Caenorhabditis elegans: one gene and its partners. The protein of the gene in region 3 purifies or fractionates together with the protein of the main gene of each other region. This does not show direct contact. Each region holds a gene or a part of one and is shown on either strand. Other genes may lie near its edges. The genes, in order: tth-1, F22E12.1, npa-1 and T21H3.1.

Evidence for each region.
Region 1: the proteins of npa-1 (region 3) and tth-1 fractionate together in Caenorhabditis elegans (co-fractionation; one large-scale study listed by BioGRID). This does not show direct contact.
Region 2: the proteins of npa-1 (region 3) and F22E12.1 purify together in Caenorhabditis elegans (affinity purification with mass spectrometry, with the first as the bait; one large-scale study listed by BioGRID). This does not show direct contact.
Region 4: the proteins of npa-1 (region 3) and T21H3.1 fractionate together in Caenorhabditis elegans (co-fractionation; one large-scale study listed by BioGRID). This does not show direct contact.

What each region holds. Positions count from the first base shown.
Region 1 is NC_003284.9:8,421,021-8,426,422, forward strand, and holds tth-1 (Thymosin beta), read right to left. Parts: upstream 2,712-5,402; 5' UTR 2,690-2,711; coding exon 2,572-2,689; intron 2,260-2,571; coding exon 2,054-2,259; intron 1,978-2,053; coding exon 1,846-1,977; 3' UTR 1,834-1,845; intron 1,701-1,833; 3' UTR 1,460-1,700; downstream 1-1,459. Other genes in the region: tag-123 (Transmembrane 9 superfamily member), read right to left, coding at 1-128, 312-572, 620-713, 769-836, 907-1,032. UniProt on the Caenorhabditis elegans protein: Plays an important role in the organization of the cytoskeleton by regulating actin polymerization in two ways. Firstly, by binding to and sequestering actin monomers (G actin) inhibits actin polymerization.
Region 2 is NC_003283.11:10,452,579-10,460,528, forward strand, and holds F22E12.1 (BPTI/Kunitz inhibitor domain-containing protein), read right to left. Parts: upstream 4,770-7,950; 5' UTR 4,745-4,769; coding exon 4,534-4,744; intron 3,878-4,533; coding exon 3,621-3,877; intron 3,578-3,620; coding exon 3,377-3,577; intron 3,334-3,376; coding exon 2,988-3,333; intron 2,943-2,987; coding exon 1,752-2,942; intron 1,701-1,751; coding exon 1,615-1,700; 3' UTR 1,279-1,614; downstream 1-1,278. Other genes in the region: Y32F6A.5 (Retinoid-inducible serine carboxypeptidase), read right to left, coding at 257-367, 418-648, 740-1,027; F22E12.3 (ShKT domain-containing protein), read right to left, coding at 6,765-7,063, 7,290-7,357, 7,660-7,750.
Region 3 is NC_003283.11:7,072,999-7,083,007, forward strand, and holds npa-1 (Polyprotein allergen nematode domain-containing protein), read left to right. Parts: upstream 1-2,878; 5' UTR 2,879-2,962; coding exon 2,963-3,007; intron 3,008-3,352; coding exon 3,353-3,387; intron 3,388-3,496; coding exon 3,497-4,190; exon of another isoform or gene 4,191-4,233; coding exon 4,234-4,605; intron 4,606-4,660; coding exon 4,661-5,032; intron 5,033-5,077; coding exon 5,078-5,449; intron 5,450-5,491; coding exon 5,492-5,863; intron 5,864-5,908; coding exon 5,909-6,283; intron 6,284-6,329; coding exon 6,330-6,707; intron 6,708-6,753; coding exon 6,754-7,968; intron 7,969-8,363; coding exon 8,364-8,456; 3' UTR 8,457-8,582; downstream 8,583-10,009. Other genes in the region: nssp-53 (Neuropeptide-Like Protein), read left to right, coding at 1,895-2,011, 2,479-2,553, 2,600-2,645; mys-1 (Histone acetyltransferase Tip60 homolog), read right to left, coding at 8,760-8,777, 9,675-10,009.
Region 4 is NC_003283.11:1,174,342-1,180,733, forward strand, and holds T21H3.1 (Fungal lipase-type domain-containing protein), read left to right. Parts: upstream 1-2,382; 5' UTR 2,383-2,383; coding exon 2,384-2,755; intron 2,756-2,803; coding exon 2,804-2,929; intron 2,930-4,014; coding exon 4,015-4,362; intron 4,363-4,412; coding exon 4,413-4,484; 3' UTR 4,485-4,523; downstream 4,524-6,392. Other genes in the region: ptr-16 (SSD domain-containing protein), read left to right, coding at 247-370, 424-473; F25A2.1 (Fungal lipase-type domain-containing protein), read left to right, coding at 5,288-5,608, 5,653-5,778, 6,311-6,392.

The DNA of each region.
Region 1 (5,402 bases), on a different chromosome or scaffold from region 3:
TCAATACGGATGATTCTTCCTCCAACTTTGTGCTCCAAGAAGTTTCCATCATTGGTCATATCTCTGTAGTAGATCTCAATGTCAACATGATTGAAGATGTAGAAGTTGTTCGGAGTCTTGTATTTTTGCTGAAAAATAAAAGAGATATTGTGTTGAAAAACCAACATTTCTACAAATGAATATTTAATAACGTTTTTTGTCGAACAAGAACAACCTTTTGAAAAAGGAATGGAAAAGAATGGTTAATTGAGGTTTCGATATTGGACAAAAGGAAATTTCACGAATTCAATAAAAAATTATCTAAAACTTACATTGAGTACACAAGCGTCATGTTGATATCCCTGCTCATCAACAAAACATCCAACTGGGAATCCAGTAGTGCATACATCCATATTTTGAAGATTCTTGAAACAGAAAGTCACTGGCATGTTGTCAACAATCCAATGATGTTGGTAGTTAAGTGTCATGGCTCTCTGGAGCAATCGAAGCTTTGCCAAATCATCGGCGCTTCCACGAGCGTATTTCTTTGTGTCGCAAACCAAACGGCATTTTTCTTCTTGCAAGAATGCCACCTAATACAGAGTAATGGATTTTTTCATTTATTTTTTAACTATGTTACCTTGTATGGACTTGGACGAATACGTTCACCGAACAAAACTTGTCCGAGATTTTCGACCGGTGACTCATCCTCGTTTACCGTGCAAAAGTCAAAACTGAAAATCACGTCATATTTTATCAATAATCACATTTTATCATGTTGTGACCCACCTATGATATTCATATGGGATGACGGAGCGATCGCTGTCAAGATGATTGACATACAGGGAGATGTTGCTCTGAAATTTTTTTCATGGTACTTTTTAACTGAATTTTCAAAGTACTTTCTAAATCACCACAAAAACTTACTGGACAATTCGCTTTTTCCACTTCACAAAAGTTCACTGGTGCCAGGCCAGGAAGGTAGAAAGCACTGGCACTGGCAAGAAACGAAACCAAAAGTAGTTTTGTGAGCATCCTCGTCGTTTTGGGCATTACCTGAAAATTGATATCAACAAAAAGTTCCGTGAAAAACATGCAAAATGAAAGAGAAAACGCGATGGAACGAGACAATAAGGGTCTCTTTGCATAAATCGAAATGCCACGCAAAACTGACGAGGCAGCCGACCTCTCTCGCGTCTCTACAGTGTGTACACTCTTTCGGCGGTGGGTCTCGCAACGATATGACGACGGAGTGTGGATTTACGGCCTCCCTTTAATATTTCAACCCATTTTTATTGGAAAATAGTTTTTTTTTGGTGTTTTAATATCAATTTTCAATGTAGATTTTGTAAAATTTTTAAGAACAACAATCGTTATTTCACACTCAATTAAAAGTATACTCATAGTTATTAATTTAATTACTATTAATATTAAAATACTAACTTTCCTGAAATTGTTTCATTTAAAACAAAAAAAAACTGTAATAAAATATGTTCATTTTCAAGTGGGGAATAAATATGGAATGGTAAAAAATCGATACATCAAATATTATGTAATGAAACGTAAGAATTGATGAAAATACATGTTTGTCAGGGTAAAATGTTAAAATCGATAAAACTCGAACCAGAAAACAAAGAAAACGCATTTAAATGTGAGAGTCCGGATTTTTCACTAACGATAATATGAAGGCGTACCGAATTGAGGTTGAAGAAGGAGGGACTCTGGAAAATAAGAATATAGATTAACATCTCCGTCGTTTCAATTTGCGAATTCCACATCATGACCTAGTAATTCAGATTGAATTTTTAGATATATAGAAACATTGGAAGTTTGATATTAAATAGAAAAAAAAACCTTTTTCATAAATTATTGAGCTTCAGTGACGCGGACATCGGTGGAGACAATGGTTTCGACGTGGTGAAGAGCACTCTTGTCAAAAGAAGCAGCCATTTGAAGAGTCTTCTCGCGAGCAACATCGGTTGGAGAAGGAAGGACGTTCTGAAATACAAACACAAATTGCTTTGTTTCTATAATGTTTTGTTTTAAATGAAAACTTGTGAAAATTGTGAGCTACCTTCTCAATGGTCTCTGTTTTTTTCAAGTTCTCAGATGGAAAGTTGTTGATCTTGTCGGTGAGCTCCAAGTGTTGCTTCTCCTGCTTGATATCGTCAGCCGATGGAAGCACAATCTTCTCCTTCACTGGGGTAGAGTGGAGCTTGGTAGAGTCGAAATGTTCAATCTCGTGAATGCGCTCGACATGTTGCTTCTCCTCGGCGACATCTGAAATGTTAAAACTTTTGAATAACAAAAGTTTGAACTGATCAAAATCATAACATTTCCTGTTTGTGAACTCATGTAATTTTTATATTTTGAAATAGTTATCAGTTATTGTTTGAACAACTGATCATTTCATTTGAAAGTGATAATGACTCCGAACATCGAAAACACATGATTTTTTCTCGTCAGTTTTGATATGTAAAGTTGATGAACTAATGATTGAAACTGTATTGGAATTGAAAACTCTATCGATACTCTATGAATTCCATATTAATTTCCTATTCAATACCAAAAAATCATACAAACACAACTAACCTTCCTTGGTCGGCAAAACATTCTTCTCGGTGGTTTCAACTTTTTTGAGCTCCAATCCCTCTCGGACAGCTCCAGCGAGCTCTTGGTTCATCTTTGGAAGTTCGGTGACGGCAGCCATTGCGAGTTTTGGAGGAAAGTGTCTGCAAGATATAGTAGAGCAATTATTGTCTAAAACATTTTAAGAGGCAAAGTGGGAATGGCAAAAAAAAGAAATGACGGTAGTCAATGAAGAATCAAAAGAATTATCTGTGGGTTACGATTGAAAATGCTTGCGTTTGCCTATATATGAGAGAGGAGGGTTGTCGGCACAATAATAGTGTTTCCTGTGACTAATACTTTTTTTCTTGTCGCACTGACTGACTCATCACTGGGTCTGCTGCTGCTGCTTTTATTTTCAAACGGACGGGAAAAAATTGGGCAATGGACAGGATTTTGAGGACAAAATGACATGAAGAATAAGATGTGAAGAGGGGATTTTGTTTATTTGACTAAAGAAAGAAAGAAAGAGTCTATCATAAACAATTTGAAACGATTGTATATGTATAAGGGTATTGGTATGTGCACGTTTCGATATTGTCATGTTGGAAAAGGGTAGATGGGGGAACAGCGATAAATTTTTATTCAACACGTGATTTATTTGTTGTTTTTTTTTCCTATTTGTGATGGTGAAATAAAATATCGTCATGGCTTTGAAATCGAAGAGTGACTACTGAATTGAATCAATACGGAAAATTGAAAAGGGCATTTAATGTCAACAAACATTCATTCTACACTTCTTCCCATCGATTCCATGAGAACTTTTTGTTCGAGAATTTTGAGAATGAAGAAGTGAAACTGTAAAAATGAAAGGAAAGTGAAACGATTGAGAGGAAAAAGAATTGTACGTTTCCAAGTGTATTCATATTTTCTTTCACCCTTCTTCTCTCGCTCTTCCAAATGACCTACTTCAATTTGATTCACAGTTTTTGTAGTGTGAGGAAAGGTGGAACGCGTGCGTACACAGACATTTGAAAGAAAAAAATTTAGATGGGAAAACTCGGCACAGACTTGGCATGGCAATTATGTGCTTGGCGGGTGTTTAGGAGAAAAACTATTGCAAGAAGTTCGAAAATACAAATTCTATACTAAATTTGAGTACACTAAATTTGAGTATACTTGTAGACAGGTAGCCCGCAGTTTTCGTCATTATAAATTATGTTTACAATTGTGTTTCCCAAACAGGGTTCACATATAGAATAGAATACGCGCACCTACCGCGTGAAGCATCTAATTGGTTAGGGCAGCTTGGGTCAGAAGCTCGACTTATATACGCTATTTGACAAGAACAGGTGTGGGGCTGCTCTTAGAATATTGAAATATATTATTGAAAACAAAACAAGGGTATGATGTTTTCAAGTGCAGTTAGAAGTAGAATGAAGATGCAAGGTTGAAGAGTGGAAAAACTCGGGAAATGGAAAAACAAAAGCCACTTGCGCTTCAACGCCTTTTTCGTACAGTTGTGCGCATAAAAAGACAAAATATTTGCACATGGCCTTCTCTTTCAGGAATATATGAACAAGGCGCAAAAAATACTTCAGCTGATCATCCGGTCAGCTGTTAGTCACCGATAAGTGGTCAACGGAGAGATATGGTGGTATTGCGAAATTGATTTCTGTGAGGAAAAAAACAACTCACAGGAAAATGAGTTTAAGGTGAAAAAACAATAATGGGGCTTGGAAAAATTTCAAAATTCCAGTAAAAAAGGGACTTATACCAGATATTAACAATTTTCTTCAATGCGCATTTAAAAAAATTGTGTGACTTTTAGTTTTACATTACTATTTCAATATTCGGTAGCCGTGTATTCATAAAAATGCTTATATACTAGTATACAGGCATGGCGCTGTTTTTTTTTTGGTTGCGGAGAAGTCCTAAACAAATTCTTTTGCATAAATTTGAGATAGTTTTGGTGTTAAGAGTTGCAATTCTCCATGTGGATTATTGTCGACAAAGACATAGTTAAGAAATAATCATGGGCCATTCTAATGGGTCAAATTTCTGGAATCATCGAAAATTTGGGTTTTCAGGCAAATTATTTTTAAAAATTTACTGTGACTTTATCAGATAGTGTATGATAGCTCATATGAAAACGCTTTAATTTAAAGGCATTTTTATTCATTTTTTACAATTCTAAGCGCTCAAAAACTAAAGTTAAATATACATGATATTCGCAGCATATTATTAAGAAATTTTAAAATTCATAAATCCCAATCAAGAAGTTTGTAAATTTAACATTTTTTCAATTAGCATCTAAATTTGATCAAAACAATTAGTCCAAAAATATTATGGAATTGAGGAAGTATACGTTTCTGGAATCAAATTTTCACGTATTAGCTTTTAGTTTTATTTCGAAGAAACTATAATGTTGGGTAATTTTCTTAAAGTGATATCAGAACTCTACGACTGACGATTTTTTCAGTCTTTCATCATTCTAATTTTTATGCCTTTTCTTCTGTGAAATTAAAAGCTGAATACATTCTGGAACGGCGGTAGATTATTCCAAGAAGTCAGATTTTCAAATGAGAAATGGAGAATCATAGTGGTAACATTTTTGGCGGGAAAACACTCTCATAATAGCAAGAAACCAACACGCATGACGAATTCGCTTCCTTTATACATAACTCAACCGAGTGAAAAGTTTACAGTAATACAAAACTATGGACATTGTAGAAGAGCGATTGTGTTCATTATTAGAGCGAGAAAGCGGAAAAGAGAAAGACAATTCTGGTCCATAACAATGAGAAATTGAGGGTACGCGAACGATTGGATGCGGCTAGGAGGAAGACAACAAT
Region 2 (7,950 bases), 3.4 Mb from region 3:
AAGGACGTAACAGTTTGAAGTAACTATATTTTTTTGAATAATTCTCGTGGATTGTCAAAGTCTCAAAAACAAGTTTCTACGATATTCAGAAAAACGTCTCGAGATAGTCGGATTTGCTTTTGGATTTTTTTTGTGATAACTATCACATTTTAAATCTTACTGTAAATATTTAAATAGTAATGTTATTTGCTAGAACAAAACAAATTTTTTTGGGGAATGGAACACATAAAAGTGTCCTATGATCATATGAACTCACATTAGCATAAAGATATGGTCCCCAGGTGTTGACATAATCCATTGCAGAAATCCATGAATCTCCGAGAGCAACAGCGCGGAAGTTGAGTTGAAGACTTCCAGCTTTGATAGACTAAACAACTACAGTTAATTAGTTTTTTTTATGGTTACCTCGAAACTTACATCAGTTATGACTTTAGCAAATTGAGCGCTCATTTTACCTCCATAACTTTCACAGAAAATGTAGAACGGACGAGTACGATACTCTGGATGAAGAGCAAGGAATTTGCGAAGCCACGCGAGCAAATCTTTTCCAATTTGAGTGATTTCAGTGGTGTAAGCAGATTTATCGTCGACATAGGAAAAACCAGCACCAACGGGGTTGTCCACGTAGACCATGTCAGCAACTTGAAGCTAAATTTTTAACTTTTCAAATTTCAATTTAGATCTTGATTTCAAAAAAAAAATACAGTGTTTAAAATAACAATCACAGAAAATATCGTACCCAAGTAGCTGGATTGTCAGATCCATTCAACGTCTTTGGTCCAGTTTCCTCAAAGTTTCCAAAACCGGAACTAGATGATCCAGGTCCTCCTTGCAACCAGAGAAAGAGTGGACGTTGAGAATTGGCAGGCTTTGCTGCATAAAGCCACCAGAAAGTATGAGCATTTGTACGAATATCAACATATCCCCAATCTTCATCATATTGAATAACACCTCCCCAAGTATTAACTGAATTGCTAGCACCCGCCGCAGCAAGGCTCACTAATGAGAGAATAAACAACAAGTTCATCTGAAAAATGAGATAAATGTAAAGAAAAAATAAAGAAGGAAGCAGAAGATTCAAGAACAAATATCCCGTGACCATCAGACTGCCGTCTTGTCAATTGGAGCCACCGCAAAGAGCCAATAAATCAAAAAGCTGTAAAGTTCTTTTTGTTGAGGGAGGGCGGTGGAGACGATGACGATAAAAGTGGTATGTGTTATCAGAAATGAAAAGAAAGAGGCGGGAACATTAAAAAAAAATATTTTTTAATAAAATCATCACAAAAATTGAATTTATTCTGGAAAAAATCAATAAAATTGGGAAAATGAATTATTAACGTGCCGCTGGCACCATGTATCTGGAACGGTCTCCTAGGATTAACTTTCTCAAAACTTGAAAAAAAATTGGAAAAAAAATCTAGGAATACTAGCGGGAAAGGATAGAGATGAAGATCCTCAAGGACAAAGTAAAGAGGTAAGATTTTTAAAATTTCAAGATTTCTTTCCCGATAACAGTTTTTTCCAAAATGTTCAATTCAGAGAATTTCAAACCTAGAAAATGTAAATATACACGTATCAAGAAGATTAGAAATTAAATTTAATAGTTTTTAGTTCTTATTTGACAAAGTCTACGTATGGATCAAAATCAACTTCTTGAGTGTACTCTTCACTTGATGGTGGTGCGAACAATTTCGATTTCTCTGGAAATATATTTGAATTTTTTAAAATGAAATTCTCACAATAATACTCACTTCCACTGCTAGGTGGTTGAACAATTGAAGGCATTCCTCCATTAATCGGAGATCTTGGTTGTGGTATTTGTGGTGGAGGAGGTGGTCGAGTATTTCGAACCGTTACTGGTGGAGGTCTTGTTGTCAATGGTGGTGCTTCCGTATCTGGGAAGTCCATTGGAACATCATATTCATCTTCATAATCTGATCTTTGATTATCCATTGCAATTATATCTTCGAGACTAAGAGACGCAGGCGTCACATTTTCGATAATTGGCCTGAAGTGTTCAACTGGTTCGGCAATTGACTTGCTTGTTGGGATTGGTTTTCTGATATGTGCATCGTATACAACTTCATTGACAGGAAGAGTTGGATATGGAACGTGAACATATTCAGTTGTGGTTTCAACTGTAGTGGTTGGAGTTGGTATCGTGGTTAATCTCATTCTTGCTTGGTACTCTTCAGCCCGTTGCTTCATTTCATTTTCATATTTCAATCTTCTATCATTTTCAGCTTTTTCTCTTTCAACCATCATTCTCTCACGTTCTCTTTGCTGTGCAGCTTTCAACTCTTGAATCTTTTTCTTATGTTCTTCTTGTTGTCTCTTTTGCTCTTCCTGCCGTTTTTCCAGATCTTCTTTGTACTTTCTTTGCATTTCTTCATGTTTTAAACGGGAAATTTCATGGGTTGGCACTGTCGTGATCAATGGAATGTATGGTTCCTCAGTTGTATAAACTGCCTGAGTGGTCAAAATGGGTTGAATCACTTGTTGCATTGGTGGAAGTGGTGGAAGTTGAGCCACGGGAGGTACTGGAACATGTTCAGGAATTCTTGCTCCTTTTGGATAAGCTGTCCACTTTATTCTTTGTCGAACAACATTGCTACCATCAGGGTTTCGAACTGTCTCAATGTGAGGTATCAAAGTTATGATATGATCTGGAAATTGTGCCTCAAGTTTTCTTCTCAATGCCTTTTCATGTTCATCTAAATGTGATTTGAATTGATTTACAAGTTCTGGATGATAGTTCTCGTTAACAGATGGACTATTTTGTTGCGGGGGTGGTGGTGGAGGAGGCATCTGAACTGGTGGCCTTTGATATCTTGCTTGCTCAAAGTAATTGCGTCGCATTGTGTCTTGGATTCTCCTCTGCGTCTCTTCGGCTTCATTTTGCAACGATTGGGATATTTGATTGTGCTGCTGAACGTGTGCATCTATAAAAGGAATTTCTGAATATGTAGAAATGATTGAATTCTTACCTTGTTCTCTAACAACTTGATATGTAACAGGTCTATTGTGTTCATTTATCTCCGAATCCAGTTGGATACGATAAGAATTTGACTGAGAAGCTGGACGCGTTCCCAAGTGAATCATTCGTGGTGGAAGCTTCTTCTTTTGCATTTTGAATCTTCTTTTCATAAAACCATTTTGTTGTGCAGAAGCTTGTTCCTGAATCTGCCAGTTTACATCTTGATCAAGTACTTGCATTGGTCTTGGTTCGGAATCATAACGATGAATAGTCAATCCATCAGCTTGAGTCTTGAACGATTGGGCAGCTCGGCTGAACATCGGAACGGTCACAGCTGGAGCTGCGTGAAAGTAGCTCTGAAAATGCTAAATAAAACAAAGAAAAACTGTGACTAATTACTGGTCCATCGTCTCTGTGACTGATATTGATTGTCATGAGTTTATTGTCCCAGTTATCTGAATTTCCATATCTTCTCGGATGGCTGTCATAATAGGAATTTTCCAATGGAACCTGCACAGGATACGGCTCTTCTGAATACTGATGGAATGATTCAGTTGGGTTATTAAAAACATGTAGAGATTCAGCTGACATTGATCGATTCTGTAAAACATAACTATTGTTTCCATTCGGAATCTTAACTCACCATCTGTCTTCCCCAGTACTTCTCATCAATTCCAGGTCCATGTTCTGCATACTCTCCACAAATGAGCATACAGTGATTATAGGAATAATAGATATTCGAGTTACCACCACAACCAGACCACCATGAGCATACACATTGCTTCTTGTTTTCGTCGAAAAACCATCGCTCAATGTCCGCATAGCAATTTCCTGGATCATGAGGTTGAAAGCATCGATCTCGGTTTGTAGGTACTTGATAGTGACACTGAGATGAACACTCTGGAAAGAATGCTATTGAGTTAAAAAAAACATTGTGAACAACATTGTAATTCAAAAACCAAGAAGTAATATTACAATTATTTTAATTAATCATATTTTTGGCAGTGGTCTCCAATTTTTCGACAACATTTGACCGTTTATATTTAATATTTGTAAACATAATCAAATCTTGGTTATACTTTTGCCGCATTTTTTTAAAACATCGGTCAGACCTTGCAGACCTTTGATCGTACTCTGATTATGCAATATGTGAGGTGACCCGGTCTCGAATAATACTAATTCCGTAACATCGGCTTTTCTTTACAAAGGTTTAACAACTGTTTGACAAACTTTCCAAAGCGCTCCAAACGCTGGCCATAAACAAAAAACTCGCCAATGGATCTTAATGGGTCGTCTAGCGCCCATAACGAAGCATATATGGTATTTAGTTACACTCAAAAAAAAACACTCAAAAAGGGACAGCTCGCCACGCCAACAGTGAGAAAAATAGTGTGGTGCGCGGACCTCGAATGATGTCGGCGGCTGATATTGCCTGGGGTACCGCTTTTTGCCTTTTCCCCGTGAGTGAACGAGAAAAAGGCGGGGCCTATTTTGGCGTACACGCAACGCAGTTTTATTATTTTAAGTGTAAGCTAAAAATATATTCAGTAGCATACCTTCCAAAGAATCGAATCGATTCTCATTTCCTTCACATCCTCCATAAAAGAAGCGACGACATCGATGATCATACCGATCATAATACCATTTTACATGAAAATCAAGTTCACATGTGCCACGATCTGGCCAGTGATTGCATTTTGGATTGGATAGCAGTTGTTGTGAGTTGACCGCAGTACAACCAAAGAGTAAAATGAGAACAGTGAGCATGATACTCTACTCTTTCAATTCTTGTCTGAAATGAAATAATTTAAAAGTGCTCCTGACACTTAGGGCGGAGCTGTGCGAAAAAGAGAAAGCGGCGGTGAGATCAAGAATAAAATTCAATGGAAATGAGAAGATTGCACAAAAAGTCATTACATGAGATACTTTTTTATTGGTCCATTGAAAATTATGAGTTTCTGATTTGAAGACGGGTGTATCCATCCCACTCATTAGTCACACAACTCTGACTCATTCGATTTTTAGGCTTCTGGCCAATACAAAAAATAAAGAAACATGTGGAAAATTTTAAAAAGGTTGAAAGAAAAAAACAATGGGATTGAGTGTCCTCTCTTCCTTGCTCCTCCCGAGTTTTCTAGGACATTGCAGGTGGGATGAAGATGAAGGAGAAACGGGGCGGGAATGTGAATAGGTTGACAGAGAAAACAGAAAAACGAGGCGTGCTCCCACTGGGGAAAAGGTATTCGAGGTGCAAGAGGGGACAAATGTCAACTGATAGAGATAAATGAGATGGCATCACAGAAGCCAGTTTCTGTTTTTGTCCTGATGTTGTTGGCTGTAGGTGAGAATATATAAGGGGATTTTCACTTCGCCATTATGTGATAATTCTTGCAGTTTACTAAACCATTTCTAATTTAGGTTTATAAATATCAATAAACATTCCTCTTGTAAATTGCTTTAAAAAATTCTTACAGCATTCTAGGTTTCGAGAAAAAACTTAGTAGTTTTAAAGGTTAGTCGTGCCTATACCAACTTATTATTAATGCTCTAGGACAGGGGTGTGGGGCGAATTTTCCGACAAAATTAGATTACCGAGTTTATCGGTAAGTGTTCGTGTAGCTTTTCTCGAAGCAATGTATCAGTATTAAAGCAAACATTTTTTTGTTACAAATTCATGTAATAACATTTTTAAAATTGCACAGATTTTCCTTATAACTTCCGCAAAGCTCAAAACTCAGTGTCCTGGTACGTTTTTTTTAAAGTAATAATCACACCTAAATTATTAGTTTTTACCAGCGGCCAGTTAAGAACTTATGATCGACAACATTTTTCAGAACAATGTAACTGGATACTTAGAGGGCCACTTTTGGTTGGAACCCATTTCATTTTTAGTTGAAAGTCAATTTTTGTGCGTTTGAATAGGGAAAGAAATTTTTTATGAAGTGTTGTCATTTTTGAACTGAACCAGATTCATTTTTTATTTCGAGCACTGTGGATTAATTTTTATAGGTAATTTAATTTTATAACTCATTAATTACAGATTTCACTGTAAATTGGATTTTTTAAAGTATTCAATTAGTCAATTGAACACCAACGGTTAAATTTAAAACAGGCTCCCTATTTGCGCTACTTTGCTTTGAAAATGTAACAAAAAACGTAATGAAGTTCTGAAAACTTCAATTTTTGTTCAACTTTGTTCAAAAATAAAAATCTCTGCCACATTGCATTCTGCAAGAATGTTTTATAACTTATCCGTCAGAAAATGTTGCAATTTTCCATGATCCGTCTTATTTCAAGAATGTGCCAATTTGTTTTTCAAAAAGTTGTTATCTCTTTCCCTGTTTCATTCAAAAACTTCTGAATCTCCTAATCACTGTGTTCTGCTGCCATCATCCATCAGTGTCGAAAGTGAAATGAGGCGACCTTACACATTCTAAATTCGAATTGAAATGTGCGAACATGTGACCGTCGCTTGTTTTTTTGTGCCAGGCTCATCCCGGCCAGCAAAATTTGCTGAAGTGATTGATGGAATTGAAGTTTGAAATCTACTCTTCATTCGAAACATTAACAGACAATTTTTATCTGTTTAGTGCAGAAAATGTTCATGGCAGATCAGAGAGTTTATATTTGCAGGGAATGAGGTAGACTTTATTCAGAAAAATTAATAGAAACAGCCAGTACAAACTAAAAAATAAAACATAGAAATCTGATTTAAAAGTTAACCCACGTGGGTGGAAAAGTACTCTTAACTAGAGAAAACAAAACATTTTAAAACAAAATAATTCAATTAATTTAATTTTTTCTTGTCCTCTCTTCCAAATGCCCAATACAGATGTGTTCCATTCACAATTGGAATCATTCGGTTTGTGTCAGAACACAGAGCAGGTGCATTTTTCATTGAGTACAACTCATCATTACAATATCCACAAGAATGACGACAAACTCGAACAGCAAATTCTGCATCAGAACAGCTGTATTTTCCCATTCCAGATGCTTTGAATCGTCTGCAGAATCCAATAGAATGTTTGTCTTTACACATTGCTGGAGCCTTCTGGAGTGAACGAGAATTCTCGGAACTGATCTTATCTGAAATATTGGGATTGGAACTATGAATATCTTGCCTTTGTAGGCTGGATTATTTCAGTGAATGATTTCAATCTCCAAGAATTGCTTGAAAAAAACTGACAAGTGATCCAAAGGTTTTAACAGAAAAAGTAAAACCTACAAAGTTAGAAAAACTATTTGGGTCCCTTTAAACTTCTTTAGCGTATTAATAAGAAGCGTATTCAGGAAAAAAACATGAGATACTCACTTCTTTCAATATATTTTCTGCATTCTCCACAGCAATCAATAGCGGCAAAATCGTGATCAGTCAAGCATCTGGAAATTAAAATTGTTTTTATTAATCTATAGTCAATATTCTTTGAACCTCTAATCGAAATAAATTTGTTCGCGCCCACAGATATAAGAAGGAAAAAGACAAATATCTGCGCACACTCTTGAGCAGATATTCAACAAAAAACGACTGGATCCATTACCTCACATTTATCGCCACTGAGACTCACTCGTTTTTATTGGTTTTTCAAGAACGCTCATTCCCAATCTCACAAAGTTTTAGAAATTTTGACAGTTTTTTGTCATTTTACCAGTTAGTTTGTGAAGTTAACTTTCTGTTATCTCACCTCTTTTCAAATAATGCTGGCTGTGATTTTCTCAATGATTGGCATGCTTGTTCTCCAAAACGATCACGACAACATGGTAATTGTGCAGTATCTGGAACTAAGAAAACTATTGATTTTAAGAGTTGTATTTTACTTTTAAAATTTTTGAAAACTTTCAGCTGAAGTTGAAATAATTTTTTGATTCAATTTCCAATTAATGTCGGAATGAAATGTACAAATTTCCAAATTAAGAATTCTTCTCAAACCTTGATTAAATTGAAAATATGTTTCTGTCAGTTGACAAAATAAATG
Region 3 (10,009 bases):
TATTATTATTTTTAATATTCAGAAAACCACCGGTTGGCCTGTCTTCTAACATCATTATTTTCGAATGTTGACCAGAGTAATTTAAAAAAATACAGCTGATTTTTTTTTGATTAACAAAAATATTTGCAATATTACAAAATAATGTGGAGGCTTTTTTATATCCCAAATAACTACTGATGAGATTCAAAAATAATTTTAGAATCTTCAAGCTAACTTTATTTTCCTCCCCACCTTCAAGTGTTCCTGGATAACCGTTTAACAAACTTGAGTTTTGAAGCTTGCATATAAAGGAGTCCGTAGTCTTATTTCAAACATACCTAATGCCTGCCTGCCTAAATGCCTGCCTAATGATTCAGAAGCTTTTAACTAAAATCTTTATTTTTGGACAGTTTCTAAATTTGATTAAACTCCTTGAAAAGAATGTTTCTGTTTTTCTCACAAAACCAATTTAAGGGGCTTTAAATTTCCATAATCCCAAGCATGACACTATGTTGAATAGTATTTTAATTTTGACGAAAATCAAAGGAATCATCCAGGGAATCCAATTGACTCCTTTGTGACGATTTGAGGAAACGGATTTCATCAGTCGATTTATCATTTTTTGAGTAATTGTCTGAAAATATATTTTGACAATTTCATGCTTTGGAATTATCTAGCACCTTTTAAAAAAAAACAATTTTAAAGTAGTATTGCTACCAAGAACTCCCGTTTAAAAGAATTAGTTTAAAACTTTTCAGAAATCTGCTCATTTAACCAGAAACGCGATACTCTCAAAAGTCCCACTTACTGAGTGTCTGACATCTCGTCATGGTCTATTTTAATCCAAAAAAAAACAAAATAACGTAACCAGAAACCACTACAGAAATTCCTAGCTATACAACTGCTTAAAAAATGAATCCGTACTTAAATTTTCTAAACGCTAGATTATAAAATTAATTCCTAAAATAATGTTCATAGTAAAACTTTCCAAAGAATTTTTTGAACACTTTTTATTTTGTTTCAAAATGTGGTAATTTCTCAGTTTTGCAACTTTTATGGAAGTCGTCGATCAAAAAAAAATTACCTCCAAATGTTATGTTTCAAATGATGAATATTCAAATATTGTAAGGAATCAAATATGCGACCGTGTTTTAGATTTCTCACTTTACTATGATATTTGGCCAATTTGGCACCACGGGCGGTGCTCCACTTTTCCTTTCCAAAGTTCTCCCGAAATGTTCAAGAATTCCCAAGGAACTATTAACAATCGTCACCTCAGCCAAAAAGTGTCTAATTGTTGTCTAGCGACCTTCTGGGAGTATAGAAAAACTAAAAACAAACGAAGGTAATCACAGTCGTCATACTCATCATTATGAGTATTGTGTGGCTCTTACCCTTTTTCTTCGCATTAAATTTAACGACATTGTCAACGTTTTCAAGAAAACGAAAAACGTTTTTTTTTCAACATAAGCCGCATTGTTTCTCTTTCTGTTTCTTTACTGCCCATTACCGAGCAGAAAAAGCATTCACATGTTTAATTCGCTTTCTGGTTCCGCTCTTCAAAGTGTCGGATTTCGAGCCGCTGTCACAATTTTCTCAAAAAATACTCGTCGAGAAATATGTGTGTTTTTCTGCTTTTCGACGGCGATGTACTTTGATGATGATGACTTTTGTCGACAGAATACCAATTCAAGCATTTCTTTTTGTTTTTTGTATAGCCTAAAAACTGAACCGTTGACGCTTCTCTCTTTGCGTCAGCACGTCTGAAAGTGAAAAACACTTCATAATGAGCAACGTCTTCAAAATGTCCTTTTCATTTCTTACACTTTAAAATTTCTGAAGATAACCATGAAGCATTTGGGCAATATTATCATATTTTCTATGAATAAAATTGCATAATCAAACTGTTTTTCAGGTACCTCCTCCTTCATTCTTTCTATTTCAAAATGGTCCGCTCGATCGTGCTGTTGCTCCTTTTGGTAGCTCTTGTTTCTGCTACATATTCCCGTTTTGGAAGCAACAAGGCTAACAAGTAAGTGGGCAAGAAGTTTCAGAAAAAGCTGAAATATTTAAGTAGTTAACTGTCAGTAGAAGAAAAATTACAATTTTTGCAATTGCTGAGATTGGCAAACATTTCCAAATACACTCCTGTTTACAGTCAAAGATTCGGTAAATTGCCACATTTTTGAAAAAAAAACTTGAACTTTTTGGGTAATTTTTGAGCAGATGTGTAAATTTGGATTTTTAACAACAACACAAGGATTAGAACACAAGGATTTTTGGTAAATTTTAAAAATAATGATTGGTGTAGCCAATAACCTATTGCAAATAAGTCAATAACCTATTGTTTTATTGGTCATTTTAGCAACATAAAAGTGACTAAACATGTTCCTCACATGTGATATATCAAAAATACACTATAAATCCAATGATCTTTCAATGTAGTTTTTCCCACTTCCTCATTTTCATTTCCAATTTCCTAAATAATTATTATTCCAGACCAGAAGAGGCGCATCCAAGTATCAATGACCAAATAATGCAGGGCTCGCACATTCGATATTATGGCCGATTCAGGTTTGAGAGTTATCATTCACATCATTCTGATAAGAATCTTTTACAGAGATGGCTCGGATGATGTGCTGAATCGCTATTTCAATCGTTTGTAGTGTGTGCATCTCTCACAAGAGAATCTCATCATCAACAGCAAAATCATGAAAAAGAAAACAAATCATTTGTATCTGACGACTCAAGGCTGAAGCTATTTCGCTGAAAAATAATTAATTTTCCTTTGCTTTTCTTTCCTCACTCGTTGTATCTCTGTCCATTTCCTCCACCGCTCGATAAACTCTGTTTAACACAAACCATGTTTGTTGAATCTACCGAAAACAGTCCGAAATTATAGTGTGACTGATAAGCGAGCACGACAGTGATAAGCTTTTGAAACGGCGCTGCTCGCCATTGGTCTTCTATTTCACACTGAAGGATGGCCGTCACTAGGTCACTTCTATTTTTATTTTTAATTGCGTCGGTAAGTTACACAATTGTTTTCCTGGTGGTAGAAATTTTTCCATACTTTTCGTTAAAAATTATTGAGAAAGCTTTGCATGTGCAAGCAATTTCACGCTAAAATTTTTCAGTAGCTTGCATGTTAGCTAATCCAAATGTAAGTTAGAACGTGACGTCTAAAAACTAGAAATTAACTTTTCGACTCTCTTCACTTTACGTTGCTGAACTCTTGAGCTCACAAACTTCAACTTTTAAACTTTGTGCATCTAGTTTGTAGTCTATAAAAAACACGATTTTATCAGTGATAATCACACATTTATTTAGCGATTTCCACGCAACACACTAACCACAGTATGTACTATTTCAGGTCGCATTGGCCGGCAATCACAACCGTCATCACAGGTAATGCCGTTTTTTGTTTACGATATGGGCACAGCTCTGTTTTAAGATAACAGAGAGAAGCATCTGGAAACATAGAACACAACAGGGTCAAAGTATAGAAAAGTTTCAGAAACCGACGGGATAATGATCTCCACGATTGGCTAACAGCTGAACAAAAAGAATCTTTAAAGGATATTGCACAAGGAACTGAAGAGTTCAAGAAGAAGGTTGCAGTTTTCTACAACGAGCTGCCAGCTGAAAAGAGAGCAGAGTGGGACAAATTCTATAAGACTCACTGCTTCGAGTGGACTGCCAAAGCTCAAGGAGCTGACGAAGAAACTGAGTTCCAAAAGAATCTTGCTGATAATGATGTGGAAAAAGTCAGACAAAGAATCGGAGAGCTGAAAAAGGATTTGGATGAGAAGGCAAGAAAGAACGTTGAGATGTGGGAGGACGATTGCTACAAACTTGTGAAGCCAATGAGAAAGAGAAGAGAAATTGAAGCTGAGTTCCAAGATTTCGTTAAGTGGATGACCCCAGAACAACTTGGCGATATTAACGCTTTGAAGACTGCCGGAAAAGACAGTGAGATTCAAGATAAAGTTAAAGAGTACTTTGCAAAGCTCCCAGCTGATCAACAGAAAACTCTTACTGAAGAATTCAAAGGAAAGTGCAAGGTTTACTTCACCCCGCTCATGACCTCTGATGAACTTGAAAAGATCAAGACATTGAAGGGAGACAAGGAAGCTGCTGGAGCACTTGTGAAAGGAGTAGTTGACAGACAAGATGGCGAAGTCAAAGTGATTGCCGAGAAGATGCTCTCTGTATGTACCTTTAATAAATTTACGGTAAAATTGTATCTTTCAGGTTTGTGGAGAAGTCTACAAGGAGTCTACCCGGAAGCGCAGAGAAATTGAAGCTGCATTCCAAGACTTTGTTAAATGGATGACCCCAGAACAACTCGGGGATATCACTGCTTTGAAGGCAGCTGGAAAGGACAGTGAAGTTCAAGCTAAAGTAAAGGAATTCTTCGGACAGCTCCCAGCTGATCAACAGAAAACACTGACCGAAGAATTCAAGGGAAAATGCAAAGTTTACTTCACTCCACTTATGACTTCTGAGGAGCTTGAGAAGATCAAGACATTGAAAGGAGACAAGGAAGCTGCTGGAGCTCTTGTAAAAGGAGTTGTTGATAGACAGGAAGGTGAAGTTAAGGCTGTTGCTGAAAAAATGCTCACTGTAAGTTTCATCTAGTGACATCATTGTCTTACGAACAATTTCTAATTTTCAATAGGTATGCGGAGAAGTTTACAAGGATTCTAGCCGTAGACGTAGAGAGATCGAGGCAGAGTTCCAAGATTTTGTCAAGTGGATGACCCCAGAACAGCTCGGTGATATCAACGCTTTGAAGACCGCCGGGAAAGATAGTGAGATTCAGGATAAGGTTAAGGAATACTTCGCACTTCTGCCATCTGACCAGCAAAAAACTCTGACAGAGGAGTTCAAAGGAAAGTGTAAGGTTTACTTCACTCCACTCATGACTTCTGAAGAACTCGATAAGATCAAGACAATGAAGGATGATAAGGTGGCTGCTGGAGCACTTGTTAAAGGAGTCGTTGACAGACAAGAAGGAGAAGTTAAAGCTATTGCTGAAAAGATGCTCTCTGTAAGGGAAAGTATAGTTAGTGAATCTTATCAAACTAGTTTTCAGGTTTGCGGAGAAGTTTACAAAGATTCTAAACGCAAGCGAAGAGAGATCGAAGCTGCATTTAAAGATTTTGTTCACTGGATGACACCAGAACAACTTGGAGATATTACTGCATTGAAAGCTGCTGGAAAAGACAGTGAAGTTCAAGCTAAGGTTAAGGAATTTTTCGGACAGTTGCCGGCTGATCAACAGAAAACTCTTACCGAAGAATTCAAAGGAAAGTGCAAGGTTTACTTCACACCATTGATGACTTCCGATGAGCTTGCAAAGATCGAAACTTTGAAGGGGGATAAGGAAGCTGCTGGAGCACTTGTCAAGGGAGTAGTTGACAGACAGGAAGGAGACGTCAAGGCTATTGCTGAAAAGATGTTGACTGTAAGGAAAAAGTAATAGTTATAAAAATACTGAATTATTCAGGTATGCGGCGAGGTGTACAAGGATTCTAGCCGTAGAAGACGAGAGATCGAACCAGCATTCCAAGACTTTGTCAAGTGGATGACCCCAGAGCAGCTCGGACACATCACAGCACTCAAAACCGCTGGAAAAGAAAGTGAAGTTCAAGATAAGGTTAAAGAGTATTTTGGACAATTGCCAGCTGACCAACAAGCTACATTGAAAGAAGAGTTCAAGGGAAAGTGCAGAGTGTTCTTCACTCCATTGATGACCTCTGAGGAACTTGACAAGGTGAAGACATTGAAGGCTAATAAAGAAGCTGCTGGAGCACTTATGAAGACTGTGGTAGATAGACAGTCAGGAGAAGTAAAGGCTACCGCTGAGAAAATGCTTGGAGTTAGTTTTACATGTTTTTTTGCTAGCTCAATCATTTATTTTCAGGTTTGTGGAGAAGTGTACAAAGAGTCGAGTCGTAAACGCAGAGAGATCGAGGCCGCATTCAAAGACTTTGTTCAATGGATGACCCCTGAACAACTGGGAGAGATCACATCAATGAAGGCCGCAGGAAAGGAAGGACCAGAACTTCAGGCCAAAACCAAAGAGTTCTTCGAGCAACTTCCAGCTGATCAGCAAAAAACCTTGAAGGAAGAGTTCAAAGGAAAGTGCAAAGTTTACTTCACTCCATTGATGACTTCTGAAGAGCTCGAGAAGATCAAGACATTGAAGGGAGATAAGGAAGCTGCTGGAGCACTTGTGAAGGGAGTAGTTGACAGACAAATGGGAGACGTGAAATCTATTTCAGAGAAGATGCTTGCTGTAAGATAGACATAGTTTTTAATCATATCTGATAGCTTGTTTTCAGCTGTGTGGAGAAGTCTATAAAGACTCTAGCCGCAGACGTCGAGAAATCGAAGCTGTGTTCCAGGACTTCGTTAAGTGGATGACTCCAGAACAACTAGGAGATATCACTGCTTTGAAGGCAGCTGGAAAAGACACTGAGGTGCAAGAGAAGGTGAAGGAATACTTTGGAAAACTCCCAGCTGATCAACAGAAAACACTTACTGAAGAATTCAAGGGAACTTGTAAGACTTACTTCTCCCCTCTGCTCACTTCTGAAGAGTCTGAAAAGATCAAGGAACATGTTGCATCCGGAGACAAGGAGGCCTCCAAAGCACTTGTCAAGGGAGCTGTGGATAGACAAGAAGGAGAAATCAAGACAATTGCCGAGAAGATGTTTGGAGTAAGCATTAAATTTAAAACTGAATGAAAACCAAACTATCTTTCAGATTTGTGGAGAAGTCTACAAGGAGAGCAAGTCTAGACGTGACGTGGCTGCTAAAATCGAGAAGCATTTAAGTTGGCTTCAAGCCGAGGAGAAGGAAGAGATTCTGAAAATGAGCAAAGAAGGAAAGAGCAAGGATGACATCAAGAAACGTCTGTTCGAGATGGTTGAAGCCAAGGAGAAGGATGCAGGAGAGAAGGAGAAAACCGTAAAACTGTGCTACGCTTGGATGGATGATGTAGCTACAAAGGAAGAAATCGAGGGGCTTCACAAGTTGCACCATGTTGATCATGGAGCATGCAAGAAGAAGGTTCGCGAGTTCATCGGAAGACTTCCAGAGGAGAAACAGAAAGCTGTTGAAGCTTCCCTTCCATTCTGTGAAAAGCTCTGGTATGGAGATCATGCATCTCATGAGGGACACGAAGGACATGGAGATCACTCTGGACACAATCATCATCACATAAAGAGACGTCATTTGGCTGTAATTGAAAAGTACATTGAGTGGCTTGATGAGATTCAAAAGGGAGCGATTAGGGAGTTGGAAGCATCTGGAGCAGATTTCAATGTGATCGCTGATAAAATCAAGGAATTCTTCCATCTTCTTCCAGAACAGAAACAAACTGATGTTAAGGAGAAGTTCCAGAATCAATGCATGACTTGGGCGAAAGAAGTTTCAAAGCCAACCGAATGGGAAGAAATCAAGAAATTGCACGCTGCCGAAGACTTCAACACATTGAAGCTGAAGCTTGTAGAACTGGAAGAGCGCCTTACAGAGAATCAGAAGCATACAATTGAGCACGTGAGAGGAGTCTGCTATAGACTTTGGGGAATCAAGAATCTTGCCAGAAGACGTCGTGTTCCAAACTCAGAAGCTTCATTCCAAGAGAAAGCGGCCAAGTATTTGGATTGGATGAACGAAGAACAATTGAACGAATTGAAGAGATTGAAAAGTGAGGGAAAGAAGTCCGAGGTGATGAAGGCCATTCTAAAGTTCTACGATGAAACAACCGGAGATGCCAAGGAGAAGGCCGAGGGCAAGTTGAAAGAAGCTTGTAAGGAGTATTCGGTTAAGGCTTTCGGAGAGGAGAAGGTGGCTCAATTCAAGGCTCAATACAAAAAATTGAAGGATGAAAATGCGGAACAGTCCGAGATTGAGAAGTTGTCCAATCAATACATTGACGAGATTGAGGATGAACAGAAGAAGGACTTTGCAAAGGCTGTAAGTTATTAATTATGGGGCCGCAGCAAGCGCGCTTCAATGCCAAAGGAAAACGCTCCGCCTCCTAACGTTAGGTCTCGGTAGGAGGCGGCGAGACTGTAAATTCAAACTTTTTCACTATTTTTTCGATTGTTTTTTGTTGTTTTACATATTTTTTATGTCGAAATGATGTTTAAAATACTTGTCGTTTCGAAATTATAATATAGTCAGAAATAACCGAAAAAATAACAAATTCCTAACGGGACCCAACGTTTAGGGGCGGAGCACTTTTCGTTTTACATTGGAGCGCGCTTTCGCTTAGATTTCAAAAAACTCTATAATATACAATTTTGGATTTTTTTATTCAGATTGTTAAAAATTCGAGTCCTGAAATTAATTTTTTGAATATCTTTCAGGTTGTCACTGGCTGCAAGCATGTCTACGCCTCAACTCGTTCCCGCCGTGATCTGATCGCTCAGGCGGTTGCCGAATATCTTCAGAACGCTTAATGATTAGAAAACTTCACTTTTGCAGTTATAAACTTACTTGTCTATATGATGAATTTTAATTATTTGAACTGCAACAAGAAGATTATGAAATTCAAGAATAATTTCATTAAAAAAATAAGTGACTAATAAGTCAAATTATTACACAGAACAAATGAAATGAAATGAGGCGTACGCTCTCTGAGCGGTGTGGGAATGATAAAGGGATAGCGTAAGCTTTTCGGTGTGTAGATGCGAGATAAAACGGAGTGTTATATTTTAATGTACAGGTTGAGATCGTCGTGGCGAGAACACATGTCGTTGTTGCTAGAACATGATCTGCGCCTGAAAAAAAAGTTCATAAAATAATTTAAAGATATATTCCCGGAGACTTTTTGCTTTTGTGCCGGTTTTTCGATTTTTGGATATTTCGAAAAAAATTGCGAGAGTTCAAAAATTATTTAAAATCTGCCACTATTCTTTTTTTTAGAAGAATAGTATGTTTTGTGAAAATATTTCTATTTTTTTTCGATTAAAAAATCGAAAAAGACAATTTTTTAGTTTTTCGGAAAATCGAAAAACCGACATCCTTGTTACTGTTTAAATACCTTATTAAAACTAAAATAATTAAAATAAATTTTTCTTTTAAAACTTAAAAACATTGATTTCTATTTTTTTTTCTCATCAACATATACAAAATTTGATTTAAAAAAACGGTTTTTTAAAAATAAATTTCTGAAAAGTTTTTTTTTTAATTTTTCAGTTTTCCGGACGTTCCAGATTTTTCAAAATTACAATTTGGTTAAAATTAGGTTTATTTTTTTTCGTTTTTTCGAAAAAAAATTCGCAAAAACTGAAAGATTTGAGTTATAAATTTTTGATAAATTTAGTAAAAAGAAAAATGATTTTATTAGAAAATTTCAATTTTTTGACACTGTAAACCAGTATTTCCATTTTTTTCCTTAGTATTTAGTATTTCCAGTGTTTAGGTGTTTTTTTTTGAAAAAGAGCAAAAAACTGGAAAAAAATTGTAGGGTCAAATTTGCTCAAAAAAGTGCAATTTCTGTTGTTTGTATGAAATAGGGCGTAAACCGTTTTTTTTTAAATTTTTTTTTTGGTTCTGCCAAAAACGAAATTGTTTTTTTTTGGTTTTTTGAAAAAAAAATGTTATCACGAATTTAATTTAATTTTAATTTTCAGTTTTTAGCCGTAAACACGAATTTTTGATTGAAAAAAACTCACTCTTTTCTTTCCGTACTCTTTGGGTCGCCATTGCAGAGCTGCTGGATTAATTCGTGTCTTCTTTTTCGCAGCCTCAATCCGTTTCTCATAAACTTGACGCTTTTCATCACTAATCACAATTATGTATGATCCCTTATAGTATTTGTATAGATCAAGTTGCTGTAACGTTGACACAACATCTTCTCGTTTAATCGATGTACTTTGTGAAATGTCCTGAACTGTGATATCTTCGCCTGGATGTCGTCTTTTGAATGCGAAAAGCTCTTTCATGATGGCCATTGACCAGTACGATCGATATGAGAGAAGTCCCAAATCTGATAGTGGTTTTTCGGGTG
Region 4 (6,392 bases), 5.9 Mb from region 3:
CGATTGCTCACCTCTGGCCCATTAGTTCCAATCGTCCAGAATGGACTCACAAGATTCCTGGCGCTTTATTTTTGTCGTGATTTTTTTTAATTAGTTAAACATATTTTGATAGCATTTCTGGTTTTTGAGTTATCTATAATCTTTTGAAAAATTTGAGAAATTATCAAAAAACTCTCGATTGAAATTTACTCGAATAACTGATTTGAATCGAGATATCAACTGTCAGACTATAACCTTTTTTTTCAGTCTGGCGACTTATCTCGTTTATTTGGTGGCGACTCAATACAGCCGGAAAAACCTGAAAAACTCGGAGAAATTTCACAGGCTTCCAGTTTTTCAAGTGGAAACAGTGAGACAGCTCTAGTCAAAAGTAAGAGTCAAAAGTAATACATGAATTCGATTTAAAAATTACAATTTTTACAGGCAACTCAACAGAACTGAGAACCTTACCACAGGAACGGGGATCCGGTTAATATGTGCCAAAAAAAATTGTGATCCAAAATTGTAATTTATTAGTGTTGTTTTTTTTCTCCACATTGTTTTCCTATCAAGTCTCAACTACGGGTGCTCGACTTCATTGACGTCTGTCTCATTCCCAGTTTTCTTTTGTGATAAATTAGTTAAAAAGAATTTGCAAATCAGTTGTCATTGCAGAAAAAACTAAAAATTTTCTGAATAAAAACTCACAAAAAATCAATCTTCAGGTGACTTACTGATGAAAATAAAATTTGTTGAAGATTTGTCTTTAAAGGTTGACTAGCGTCACGTGGTGTCAAAGTGTCCCATTTTAGTTTGATCTACGAAAAATGCGGGAGAAGAGACGGAGATTTTTCAACTGATTTCGCATGGTTGAGAGTATGCTGACGTCACATTTTCCTGGGCAAAAAATCCCGCATTTTTGTAGATCAAACCCTGATGGGACAGCCTGACGCCATGGGTAGCGTTTGCGCTAATTTTGCCCTAAATGGTCGAAAAACAGTCTTAATATATCAATTAAAACTATGAAAAAAATTTACAAAAAATTTCTAATTTTTTCATGATTTTATAAATTTTGAAAAAAAGAGCTGAATTATTTTTGAATTCCCGCACAAATGAATGACGTCATTTTTGGCATTTTTGCATTTTTGGGCAATAAATTTGATTTTTTCAATATTTTTCAAAAATTTTTCAATATTTTTTACAATGTTTTTCAGACATTTTTCGGCGCAGCAAATGAAAAAAATTTGCTGAAACTCCAAAATTGGCCTAAAATCAATAATTTAGCATTAAAAAAACGTGTTTTTTTGGGAAAAATGTCTGAAAATTTTGACAAATTATGCGTCAAATTATGAAACAAAGAAAAAGTAAAGAAAAAGCAGTCAATATTCCCAAAAAGTGTCAAAAAATGACGTCATTCACTTGCGCGGGAATTCAAAAAAAAAATTATATTTCCTGTTCGAATTTTAAAAAAATCATTAAAAATTTAAAAAATTTTTATACATTTTTTGACAGTTATATTTGTTATATTGAGACTGTATTCTATCATTTAGAATTTAAAAAAAACCCACCTGTGCAACTCCAATTTTAAGGTAAGCGGGGATAAAGTTGGCTTGACAACATTTTTTGGAAATTTAATTTTCTTAAAGTTTGCTGATCAAATCAAATATCAGCCTTTCAAAAACATTTCATTCGGAAATTTGATTATTTGATTTTTCAGGTAGAATTCACGGATTTTCGGCTTCCCTCATAAATTGAAATGGAAGAAATTGCCGAACTAGGCCATTTTGGCTCGGCCATATCTTGGGTAGATTTACGGCGCGTTGCGTGTCGCGGCTCGATTTTAGTTGTGAAACTAAATGCATTTGTCCGTGTGGAGTACAGGAATTCCCACGCGTTGGCGATTGTCAATGGAGCGCAAAAAATTCAACGAGGAAGGCCAGAACCCCGTGTAGAATTTTTTTTAACACCACTGAACATTCAAGTATCAAGAACTTTGTTCATCTCCTACAGTGTTAGTTTGTGGTTCGAGGAATCAAACGACCATTTAAACTACTTGCGTAATCCGGTTCGATTGAAAATTTGATAAAAGAGCACAAGTTAAGCGGTATCATTCATATCAACGACTTTTTTATAGGTTGTGTGATATTTGAAACGGAATTGGTGATAAGAAAACGGAAAGTTAATAAAGAGAAATCGAATAGCAGAGTATCGTCATTTTCCCACCTTTTCTCCCAGTAATCATGTTTTAAATGTTAATTCGAAATTTGCGGCAAATTAAGTTTCGAAGTGACGTCACACAGGCTTCACTTCGGTGACGTCACGTGTTTCTGAATAAGATGTGTCACGTTTTAAAACGATTTTCCAACTTCCATCTCATTTGTTAACTTTAAATTATTCTTTCAGTATGCAAGCCTTACTGCTTGCTGCAGTCCTTCTGCCACTGGCTTCGGCCTTTGTGCTACCAGAAGCCCCAAAAAATCCAGAGAACCTCGACGTCTATACCATCCCATACAACGACGCCACTGCTCGCAAGAAGATTCTCTTCGCAGCCGGCGCCGCCTACGGATCGAATCCACAACAGTGCCTCGACAAAGCGTTCACCGGTGCCTCAATCAGGAGAATCATTACGGCTCGCTGTGACGTCAACCCAGCCGACAAATGCGTCGGATACACCGCCGTCAGTCCACAGGACAAGGCGATTATTGTGGTGTTCCGTGGAACTAACAACAATGTGCAGCTTATTTTGGAAGGATTGGAGACTGTCTTCGAGTATCACGTAAGATTAAAATTTCGAGTACTCCGGAATAAATGAAGCATGTTTCAGACTCCATGGGCTGCTGGAGGTGTCGTCTCCCAGTACTTCAACGACGGATTTTTGAACATCTGGAACGCCGGACTCAAGGACGATTTTAACACTCTTGCCGCCCAAAACCCAGGATTCCAAGTTTGGGTAAGAATTCGTAAAAACTGATAAGAAAATGATTATTGATGGGGTTAAAGTAGACTGTGCTCCCGTGTTGTTGACAGCTATCGTAGTCTAGCAAAATATACTTTGCGAGTTCATGAAGCAAGTGGTTGTTGCATTTCTACAGTGTATTCCTACACTTGTGATATAAGTGAGTATACCCCCCAGGAAGACGCAGACGACATGAGCTGGGTTGGTTGAGATCTCGATCGAAGTCGGCTGCACGTGGTCCCAGGCTGTCTCATTAGGGTTTGATCTACAAAAAATGCGGGAAATTTTCGCCCAGAAAAATGTGACATCGACACGTTCTTAACCATTCGAAATCAGTTGAGAACTCTGCGTCTCTTCTCCCGCATTTTCTGTAGATCTACGTAGAACAAGCCGATATGAGACACTCTGACACCACGTGGGCTGCAGTGCAGCTACACAGTACGTCGCGCAAGCCTTGATGCCTGATAGGTGTAACAATAATGCTTCGTTAAATTTTTTTTTAAAATAAAATAAGAAGTCCAGATCAGAAACGCGGGAATGTCAGTGGTCAACCTCGAACCACAAAAATGTTATAGAAACTTAAAACCCATTCCACGTGGTGTCAGGCTGTCTCATTGCGCTTTGATCTACAAAAAATGCGGGAATTTTTCCCAGAAAAATTGTGACATCAGCACGCTCTTGAACATGCGGAATCCGATGAGATGTTTGCGTCTCCTCTCCCGCATTTTTTGAAGATCAAAGCAAAATGGGACTTTCTGACTCCACGTGTCATTCTTGTTGGCGCATGAGCAGGACCCAACCAGTGGATAAAAGATCCTTGTGGATCCATGTGATGATCCCGTGGTGACAATGGTTTCTTGAAAGTAGTCCTATCATTTCCCGGAATACTGTTTAGTGTAGCACCCAAGGTGGTCCACATAAGAAAACGCGGTCTCGAACATTGTCCGTTGCAAATTTATTTTCGTCTCCCAAGGCTCAAAATCATGGGATTCTGGCCTTCCTCATTGAATTTTTCGCGCTCCATTGACAACCGCCCGCCGGACAACGCGTGGGAAAGTCGTGTACTTACAAAACTTCAGGTCACCGGACACTCCCTCGGAGGAGCGATGGCCTCCCTTGCCGCCTCCTACATCACCTACAACAAGCTCTTCGACGCCTCGAAGCTTCAACTCGTCACCTACGGACAGCCACGTGTCGGAGACAAGGCCTACGCGGCCGCCGTCGATCGTGACGTCACGAACAAGTTCCGCGTCACCCACGCCCACGACCCGGTGCCACATCTTCCAAAGGAGAACATGCAAGGATTCACCCACCACAAGGCCGAGGTGTTCTACAAGGAGAAAATGACGAAGTACAACATTTGCGATGATATCGATGAGAGCGAATTCTGCTCCAACGGACAAGTTCTTCCAGACACTTCTATCAAGGTATAAATCGTCCAAAGTTCTTTACTTCACCAATACTTTTATTTTTTTAGGATCATCTTCACTACTTCGACGTTGATGTCAGCGACTTGGGCTACTCAAATTGTGCTAATGTCAAGAACTAACTTTTCAATGTTTTAAACAATAAAATAGTTCACAACTGATTCAGTGGTTCAGAGTTGAAGTGGTGGGCCTGCCTACGCGCCTGCCTCCCATATGTTCGCAGAGGTCCGCACCAGGAATGTGCGGCAAATTTGCCGAATTTACCGAATTCGCCGAGCTCGGCAAATTTCAAAACAGTAGATTTGCCGAATTTGCCGAGCACGATAAATTTCGAAATTTTCCGCACACATCAAAAATTTTTTAACAATACAATTTTGGCCAAAACTATTGATTTTGTCCCCAAAAATTTAGTAAAATGGCATAAAATTGAGTTGTTATTTTGATGCTTAAGCAGACACACTACACGGAAGTTATTCAGACACCAGATTTTTATTCAGAATTCAGTAGTTTCGGTGCTCCAAAAAACATCAAAAAATATCAAATTTTCGGAGTTAATTAAGCACGGCAAATTTGCCGAATTTGCCGTGCTCGGCAAATATTGGAAGAAGAGATTTGCAAAATTTGGCGAGCACGGCAAGTTTTGAGATTTGCCGCACACCCCTTTTCCGTACAGGTTTGAGGCAGGCGTCGGAGCATAAATAGCTAGTAATTCCCTTGATAACAAATGTGACAGCAATCTGAAGATGACGTGATGTTCGTCATATTTCCAAGCAAAGTTAAATGACAAATTGCCTCGGAGCAACAGTAATCCCAAAATCAAACAACAAAGTCACACTTGCAACCAGAACTTTTTTCACTTTTCACAGAGCTATTTAAGTTTGCAAATTTTCAATTACAATTGTATTTAATGTATTTGACATTCAAAATGCTTTTTATTTTCTCCGTTTTAATTTGCAAATCATTCTCCCACAGTTCAATACCATATTCCGATCAGCTCTCTCGGAATAAACTGATCTATGCAGCCATCTCCGCGTACGCTTCTCCTCCACAAAGTTGCATGAGCTTGGCGTTTCAAAATTTTCAAGTCAAACCTCAGATTACTGTAGCTTGCGACACACTTGATGATACATGTTCTGGATTTACTGGAGTCGATCACGAAAGTCAGGCGATTTTGGTAGCTTTTCGTGGAACTAATCGTAACGCACAGCTGCTCGTTGAAGCCGTAGAAACTGTGTTTGCAAACAATGTAAGTTAGTTTATGCAAAAGCTCTGTCTAGGTCAAATTTTCAGAAATCCTGGGTTTCCGGTGGGCACGTCTCCGAATACTTCAGCGATGCGTTTTTCAAAATATGGACTTCTGGAATGAAAGATGACGTCATCAGTCTGATGTCTAGATACCCAAGTTATCAAGTTTGGGTTCGTTAGCCTCGCACGTTCGATTTCCGAGAATAACGGGAAATTTACACCTGGGGAGTGCGGCAAATTTTCCAAATTTGCCGGACACTCCTGATAAACACGCAAGAGTTCTACTAGCGTCTCAAAGCGAATTTCGTATTCCGACTTCCGCATTTCTTGGAGATCAATAAACATGCTGTCCCATTACAGTTTGATCTGCCAAAAATGCGGGAATTTTTTGCCCAAAAATATGTGACGTCAGCACGTTCTTAACCATGTGATTCAGTTGAGAAATCTGCGTCTGAATTCCCGCAATTTTTGTAGATCAGCGTAGATCAAGCCGAAATGGGACAGCCTGACATCTCATGAGTACACAGGCCCATTACAATTTGATCTACTAAAAATGCGGGAATTTCTTCCACAGAAAATGTGACGTCACTACGTTCTTAACCATGCGAAATCAGTTGAGAACTGTGCGTCTCTTCTCCCGCACTTTTTGTAGATCAACGTAGATCAAACCGAGATGGGACAGCCTGACGCTGACAATTTTCAGGTCACCGGCCACTCTCTTGGTGGAGCTCTAGCCTCCCTTGCTGCCACATATCTCCGATATACCAGTCTCGTATCGGCTGATC